Linked DNA regions of Xenopus tropicalis. The protein of the gene in region 1 purifies or fractionates together with the protein of each later gene. This does not show direct contact. Links are inferred from orthologs where the notes say so. Each region holds a gene or a part of one and is shown in the gene's direction. Other genes may lie near its edges.

Region 1 (4,500 bases):
GAGGCCACCAACAAAACCCTTTCTTTTAACCTCAGCCTTAGGCAATCTGTGACCCTGTCATGAACTACAAACTATATTTATCATGCTGTGTAAAAAGCAGTGTACAGCGTTACCAGCGATGTTGCCCAGGGCAACCAATCAGCAATTACATTTCAACAGTTAGAAAACCAAAGCAAAGCATCTGATTGGCTGCTATGAGCAACTTATACCCCTTAGGGTCATGTGTACTAAGATTGGAGATAAATATCACTAGTGATGTTGCCCATAGCAATAAATCAGCATTTAGATTTGAACTGTCACCTAAAAGTCAGAAATCAAGAGCAAGATCTGATTGGTTGCTACTGGCAACATCACCAGTAATATTTATCTCCAATCTTAGTAGTCTTCAAATATTAATTGAATACTGGTGTAGGGATCCCCAGACTTGAGCCCCTTAGATGGGTTCCCGTTAGGCACTAGAGGTTGGATTTTTTGAGTTAGACACCTAAAGGTGGTCCTAGGTAGGATCACTTGGTGGGAGTACCGTGGGTAACCCAACAGGAGAGAGGTTCTCTAAGACTGAAGTTAAGGAGACAGTGCCCTGATGAATGTGTTCCACTCCTGGAGAGGTCTGCCCTGAATAAAGAGATTCATCTCGTTCACTATACCCACTTGTGTCTGTCTCTTTCCTATCAAGGGATCACCTACTGGCCGGTAAGCAAATACCCCAAGGGAGGGGCAAGGTGCAGGGAGTTGTGTGGAGTCCCAGTCAAGGATTAACGTACAATATCAAGTTCCCAGGGTTGTGAGTTATGGTCTCACAGTATCACCCCTGGGTGGAGGCCCACCATTGAACTGTACAGCACCTGTCCCCCATAGTAAGCGGGGCTCAGGACTCCTATAGCCAGGGGCGGCCAAGCCGACCGGCACCCTAGGCAACCCGGTCGGCCAACTCAGCCCACCTCCCCGCGCATGCGCATGCCAAAGCACAGGAGGCAGTGCAGGGGGGGGGACGATTAGATCGGTCATTGCCTCCGCCGCTAATGACAAGCGGCAGAGGCAATGACAAAGTAGCACTAGGGGTAGGCAGGAGAGGCTCCTGCCTGGCGCCCCTCAATCGTTGCGCCCTAGGCAGCTGCCTCTTCTGCCTACCCCTAGTTCTGGCCCTTCCTGTAGCGCCAAAGTAATAGCAAGTAGCAGCACTGCCAACTAAAGTGGGCTACACTGGGAAATGGAGGGACTAAGGTTACCAAACTCAAAAGTTGTCAAGCGGGTCACTAATCCAACATCACCCAAACTGATCCCTATACCTGTGCCCAGGCCTTGTAAATAAGTGTCCACTCCGTCACAGAGAAATTAAATCTTCAAATACATCTATAAGGTATATATCTCATTTAGTGAAAGTTATATATATTAGCCAAGAATAGGTTTTTTACATAATTGCCATAGTTATGCATGACTAGGTGTAATAGCAGCAGCAGCAGCAGCAGCAGCAGCAATAACATGAGCAGTTCCAAATCATGCCAAGGCCGGCCATATTAGTACACTCACCGTCGAACATTCAAACGCCGGCGATACATCCGTAGCACTGACTTCATTCAAGGTGTAGAAAGATGGCGGCGCGGATACAGGAAAGCGGAAATACCTATTTTTTTTTTATCTCACTTATTTCCTGTAACGATGGCGACTAAGGCGTCTTGGTTGTTGCTTCTGCTCCTTGTTTCGCTGAGCGCTGCGGATAATGGCGAAGGTGAGATGCTTTAGGCTTCAGCTGTGGGGTTTTACCTGCTGGTTTTGGGTGGGTTTAGATGCCTCAAGGCAAAGCTTTATGGGACTGATGCGTGTACCTTCCGCCTTCCGCCCACCAGTCTCTGTCACTATCGTCATTGGCTCCCGGCCTAGATACACTCTCACAGCATTCGGGCTTCTTGTTATTGTGGGAATGAAATAGGTTGTGTGGGGTTTCCCTTGTGCTCATTCTCTTTTCTCTTATGTGTTTGCTAATGGCACCTGTATTCTAACTGGCACTTCCTTTACCAATTAATGGTATCTCATAGAACTATAAACTGGTTTTACACAACCTTGGCTCACAGCAATGAGAGGTTATGCCTTAATGGCACAGTAAAGGTGCCTGTCACCCACATTATTATTATTAATAATCAAGCAATCAATAACTGATACAAGAGGTGAAGCACATATAAAAAGATATGTAATAAAAGTCCTTCAGAAATTAAGCATGTAACCCAAATTTTTTAATTAAATCATCCATACCTGTTATAAATAGACTTAAAAATCTGAGCTGTCAATCATATATTGCCTGCCCCGCCTCTATGCCTCCGGCATAGAGGCGGGGCAGGCAATATATGATTAACAGCTCAGATTTTTAATTACAATTACTTTAACTTTCCATTCAGCACTTCCTAGATATCACCTAGATGGCAGATTTTGGGGTGAAACAAAGCTTGCCTTAAAGGAACAGTAACACCAAAAAAGTGTTTTAAAGTAATTGAAATATAATGTACTGTGGCCCTGCACTGGTACAACTGGGGTGTTTGTTTCAGGAACACTACTATAGTTTATATAAATACGCTGCTGTGTAGCCATGGGGGCAGCCATTCAAGCTGGAAAAAAGGAGAAAAGGCACAGGTTACATAGCAGATAACAGATAAGACACCATTGTATTCTACAGGGTTTATCTGTTATCTGCTATATAACCTGTGCCTTTTCTTCTTTTGAATGGCTGCCCCCATGGCTACACACCAGGGTTTATATAAACTTTAGTAGTGTTTCTGAAGCAAACACAAAACTTTTACCAGTGCAAGGCAGCAGTACATTATAGTTTAATTTCTTTGAAATATATACATTTTTTGGTGTTACTGTTCCTTTAAAGGAACAGTAACACCAAAAAATGAAAGTGTATAAAAGTAACTAAAATATAATGTGCTGCTGCCCTGCACTGGTAAAAGTTGTGTGTTTGCTTCAGAAAGTCTACTATAATTTATATAAATAAGCTGCTATGTAGCCATGGGGGCAGCCATTCAAAGGAGAAAAGGCACAGGCACATAGCAGATAACAGATAAAACACTATTGTATTCTACAGAACTGATCTGTTATCTGCTATGTAACCTGTGCCTTTTCTCCTTTTTTCCAGCTTGAATGGCTGCCCCCGTGGCTACACAGCAGCTTATTATATAAATTATAGTAGTGTTACTGTAGCAAACACACTAATTTTACCAGCGCAGGGAAACAGTGCATTATATTTTTATTACTTTAAAGCTCTTTTATTTTTTGGTGTTACTGTTCCTTTAATAAGCAATTCCAGTATGTCTTGTTAGAAATGGTCAACTCAGCAATTATCAGTAAAACTGGTGTGTTTGCTACAGTAACACTACTATAGTTTATATAAAAAGCTGCTGTGTAGCCATGGGGTCAGCCATTCAAAGGAGAAAAGGCACAGGCACATAGCAGATAACGGATAAGTTCTGTAGAATACAATAGTGTTTTATCTGTTATCTGCTATGTGCCTGTGCCTTTTCTACAGCTTGAATGGCTGCCCCCATGGCTACACAGCAGCTTATTATATAAATTATAGTAGTGTTACTGTAGCAAACATACCAGTTTTACCAGTGCAGGGCAACAGTGCATTATATTTTTATTACTCTAAAGCTCTTTCATTTTTTGGTGTTACTGTTCCTTTAATAACAGTGTTCATAAAATGGCGGCTTTCTGCTTGCCGTGACTGTAAATTCCAAGACTGAAGGGAAAAAAAATTATATAGTGTAAGTAAAGTTTATTTTGCTCAACTAACATGATAGAAAATGATTTGGAATTATTTCTTAGTGTGACAGGTCCCCTTTAATCGCCTTAGCAGAGGCACATCTGAACCTTAATAGCAATGTCATGGTTAAAACATGGCACCTAGAGAATGGTGTTTTAACCCCCTGGGGCCCACCACGCTACTCAGGAAAACAGGCAGCAAATAGGGCACTATACCCCCTTTCCACTTTATTGCAGTGAATCTGTTGGTATTGAACATTCTATTTTCCTTTTAATTAGATGTTTTTTTTATCTCAAGCTCTAAAAGGGCTGAAACTGAAAGTAAAGCCAAATTCTACTTCCTGGTTCTAAGGATACAGTGAAAACAAACAACCAGTCCACTGAGAATCACACCCTCTCTATATAAACAGATTTACCCCAGCTGCAGCCTTTGTTAGGCATAAGGATTAGCACATCATTGTCTGGAAGGTTTCTTATTGATTATTTTTTTTTTCTATAACCGCTATGTAAAAATAAGGAAATTGGTATGACTCTCGGGCTAATGTCGCAATCACAGATGCCATTTCCCCACTAGAAGCTAGCATCTACTTGTTAGTTACTTGGCCCAATTCAGCCTCAGAGTGGCAATCTGGCATCTTACAGCAGCTTCTTTGCCAGAATCCACAAAGACAGTCACTGTTTAGGGTGAAGACACACAGAGCAACTTAATAGCAGCTACTTGTCACGGCTACTAAACTCCAGAAA
Region 2 (3,822 bases), on another chromosome or scaffold:
TCACAATACAGCTTCAGAGGCCAGTGGTACAGGCAGCACATACAGAGGGTAATACAGACTGACACTCCCCTTCGGACAGACTTGGCAGGAATCTCACTTCACCTCTGTGACACACCCCGTAGTGGGTCCCTCAGGGAATTCTCTACCCTGATTCCCTATTCACTTGGATCCCTACACTACAGGCAATGTGGCCTGGGAGAGATATCTCCAAAACTGCAAGTCCTATGCAGGAGCTCAGGAGCAGTAGCTCATTCTAGCTCAACCCTAACTGCCTTACACTCTTGGGGGGAGATTTACCAAGACCCGAACGCTCTGAGCGTTCATGCGAAAGCTCCGAGCGTATTCTCGCAGTTTTTGTCTCGCAATTTTTTTGAGCACCCGCGCAAAAAAATCGAAAAGGCTCTGCCGCTGTTTACAGTGGTTCGGTAGGAAAATTTCAATCACCAATACGATATTATCGTGACTAATACAATTTTTTCGTAAGCATTTTCGTGATATTTGCAATCTTCAGAAATTTCCGAATTTTTCCCATTTGGGATTCGAACTTGTGTTTTGATAAATCTGTCCCCTAGAGTGTACTATAAAAGGAGCTACACCTGCCACTATCTAATGCCTCACTCACGGGGCCCTGTTCCCTGACTTCACTGAGCATGAGCCTATGCCCTGGGCTCACAGCACACATCCACCCTGTTCCTCAGGTGGAAGCGAACAGGAAAAGTGCCACTCCTCTCCCAGCACTATACCAAAGTGAGGCAGGATGTGGTCACCATACCTTCTAACCAATAGCACGCATATTTTAATGAACTTACTTAGATACATTCCCTTCTGCCCAGCAGCTAAGGGAACTGAACCTGTAGGGATTTAAAGCCATAGGGGCCATTTAACCCTATGGGTCCCTACAGGTCATTATTCATATTGATGCATGGAATTCTTTTTCTTTTGAAGATGTCGGAAAAAAACGTGGAGAGTTGATTTACCAGCAACCAGTGTTGTTATCACATTTCATAATGAAGCCAGGTCTGCCTTACTCCGCACAGTAATCAGGTAGGATGTTTATAGTTAATTTATGTCCAATGGTGTCCATAATAATTTTCCAGATGGTGTTATATTTTTTTACTTGGGCAATGATTCATTGCAGGATAGAGCATATCTAATATTTTTTATTCAAATTAAAAATGTACTGCAGTCTTTTTTTTTTTTTTGAGTTGGGTATTTTTAATATCCATTTCAAGGTATAGTTAAACTGGTTAACAGAGATCATAGAAAATGTTCATAACACAAACCAGTAATCCCAAATGTAAGCTGGGTCAACATTTCCATTCCTGAAGTTCGGAGCATTACTTGGGCACATAAATTGGTATGATATTTTTTAATGATATTTAAAAAAAAAAAAAAAAAAAAACTTAAGAAAATAATGTGAAATGATAACAATACCACTGCATTCTAATGGCACACATGGCATTTTCTTACCTTGCAAAAAAAATTCATAGGCCCTCACCCCTTTGTGACCGACACATGGACAGTACAGTTTGTGTAAGAAAGAGGGACCCACTAACTAATATCTTTATTTTTTTTCAGTGTATTAAAAAAAAGCCCAGTGCACCTTGTCAAGGAAATTATTCTGGTTGATGACTACAGTGATAGTGGTGAGTTTAATTGCTTATTCACTCTCTTATAATATCTCGCCTGGACTACTGTAACTCCCTATTAATTGGCCTTCCCCCCCAAAGACTGTCCCCTCTCCAGTCCATAATGAATACTGATGTCAGGCTCATACACCTCTCCAACCGCTCCTCCTCTGCCGTGCCACTCTGCCAATCCCTGCACTGGCTTCCCTTACCATTCAGGATAAAATTCAAACTAATGACTCTCACATTCAAAGCAGTTCATAACTCTGCCCCACCCTACATCTCTGAACTTATCTCTAGGTACCATCCAACCCGCTTGTTACGCTCCTCTACTGACCTGCTCCTCAACTCTCATCTCAACTCTCAATCTCTCATTCCCTCCTCACACACTCGCATTCAAGACTTTGCAAGGGCTGCCCCTCTTCTCTGGAATTCGCTCCCGCAATCTGTCAGACTTTCTCCTAATCTCTCTGCCTTCAAGAGATTTCTAAAAACGCATTTATTTAGAGAAGCTTACCCTAATCTAGTTTAACATAACCTCAGTGTGCTGCTAAAAGCAATACCCTGTGCCACACCTCTCACAACTCTGGTCATGCCCATTCCCACACCATGTGTCACAACCCTTTCTCCTTGTAGATTGTAAGCTCTATTGGGCAGGGCTCTCTTCACCTCTTGTGTCGGTTATTGATTGCTTTATATGTTACTCTGTATATCCAAAGTATGAAACCCACTTACTGTACAGTGCTGCAGAATATGTTGGTGCTTTATAAATAAATGTTAATAATAAAATAATAATAATAATAATTTATATAGAGTTATGATAATTCTGTTTGAATTTCACTGAAGAGCAAAATGTCTTTAAATATGAAAGGCTGTCCTCAAAATATGTTTTTAATGCACTTAAAAACTGTTTTCAGGATTCAGTGAAAAAGAATAGTGCTGGTAAAAACTGGGTTTACGTCTCACTTGTGTGGATGGAGCCAAAACATTGGTTAAATAAGCCAATTTTTTTACTTTAATAACTGTAGAAATGTTTCTACTTATCTTTTTATTTTTTGCATGGACACCCAGTTATAACTGATTCATGTAATTTACATAAATACTTAAAAATTGTCTCCGTGTTTTACAGCTGAAGATGGGGCTCTGCTTGAAAGGATTGAAAAAGTACGTGTACTTAGAAATGATCGACGAGAAGGTCAGTATAATAGTAACTTTGTTTAGAAGTAACTAAAGAAAAAAATGTTTAAAATTTGTTGCATTTACAAGCTGAGATCTCTTTACTACTTACCTGTTGGTCAGGCACTGCCATTATAGTACTGGCTGGATCAATAGGTTGGAATCCCTTCTCTTAGGTGGAAGACATTGTCATAGCTTATGCAAACCGCTTATCACCCATGTAAACTCAGTTGCACAGCTAAAGTGCTTGTATATTTTATTTTTAGGTGTCAACCACGGGGTGGGGGGCTCTCTTTGTGGGGCACCAGATCACAAATCCAGCACTCTGCAAAGAGTAGCACCAGCACTGCTCTCTGCACAGGTGGTAAGGAGAGGGGACCTGGAGCAAGCTGCCCCTCCTTCTGCTCCCTAAGTTGTGCATGCAAATGATGTGCAAGTTAGGGGCGGGGGAAGGCATGTAGGCCTCTATTGAATGGAGCACTGCCTAATGTAGGAATTGTTCCATGCAAGGCATGTCCTGCAAAACCCTGTGCTCTGAAACATAGCTTAGAAGTATTTTTAATAAACACTGCATCCCGGCAGCAACTGGTTCACCCAAAAGACCAAAGCATAAGAAAAGTAACATTGTGTGTGCCGTGCAGCAAGGAGTGTTCTGACTTGTATGTGGGAGAAACCAAACAACAGTTGAGCCAGCTCCTCTAGTCAGGACTCAGCAGTGTACCTACATCTATAGGAAAAAGGACATACGTCCTTCAAACATGTGCCCTTTTTCCTCTAACTGTAGGTACACAACTGAAGGATTCTGGACAGGGAGGAGGACTGGTTCACAAGAGGTGATAAAGAAGTCATATATGTGTGAAAATTGGGGATTGCTCCCCCCATGATGTCATCACACATGTTCATTCATGCAGAGGCGGTAGGTGGGTTGGCTTGTCAGGTTGCCTAGGGCACTGGTTCAGCTTGGCCACCCCTTCCGTGTCTGTAGGTGCAGAAACAAAACAGAGCAAAGGTTTGTTTC

Evidence for each region.
Region 2: the proteins of tgoln2 (region 1) and galnt2 purify together in Homo sapiens (affinity purification with mass spectrometry; 3 studies listed by BioGRID and IntAct, counting the BioPlex papers as one, with this or other methods). This does not show direct contact. The link is inferred for Xenopus tropicalis from reciprocal best matches to the Homo sapiens genes TGOLN2 and GALNT2.

What each region holds. Positions count from the first base shown.
Region 1 is NC_030679.2:126,816,463-126,820,962, forward strand, and holds the start of tgoln2 (trans-Golgi network integral membrane protein 2), read left to right. Parts: upstream 1-1,620; 5' UTR 1,621-1,659; coding exon 1,660-1,729; intron 1,730-4,500. UniProt on the Homo sapiens protein: May be involved in regulating membrane traffic to and from trans-Golgi network.
Region 2 is NC_030681.2:52,911,930-52,915,751, reverse strand, and holds part of galnt2 (polypeptide N-acetylgalactosaminyltransferase 2), read left to right. Parts: intron 1-945; coding exon 946-1,044; intron 1,045-1,578; coding exon 1,579-1,646; intron 1,647-2,757; coding exon 2,758-2,823; intron 2,824-3,822. UniProt on the Homo sapiens protein: Catalyzes the initial reaction in O-linked oligosaccharide biosynthesis, the transfer of an N-acetyl-D-galactosamine residue to a serine or threonine residue on the protein receptor.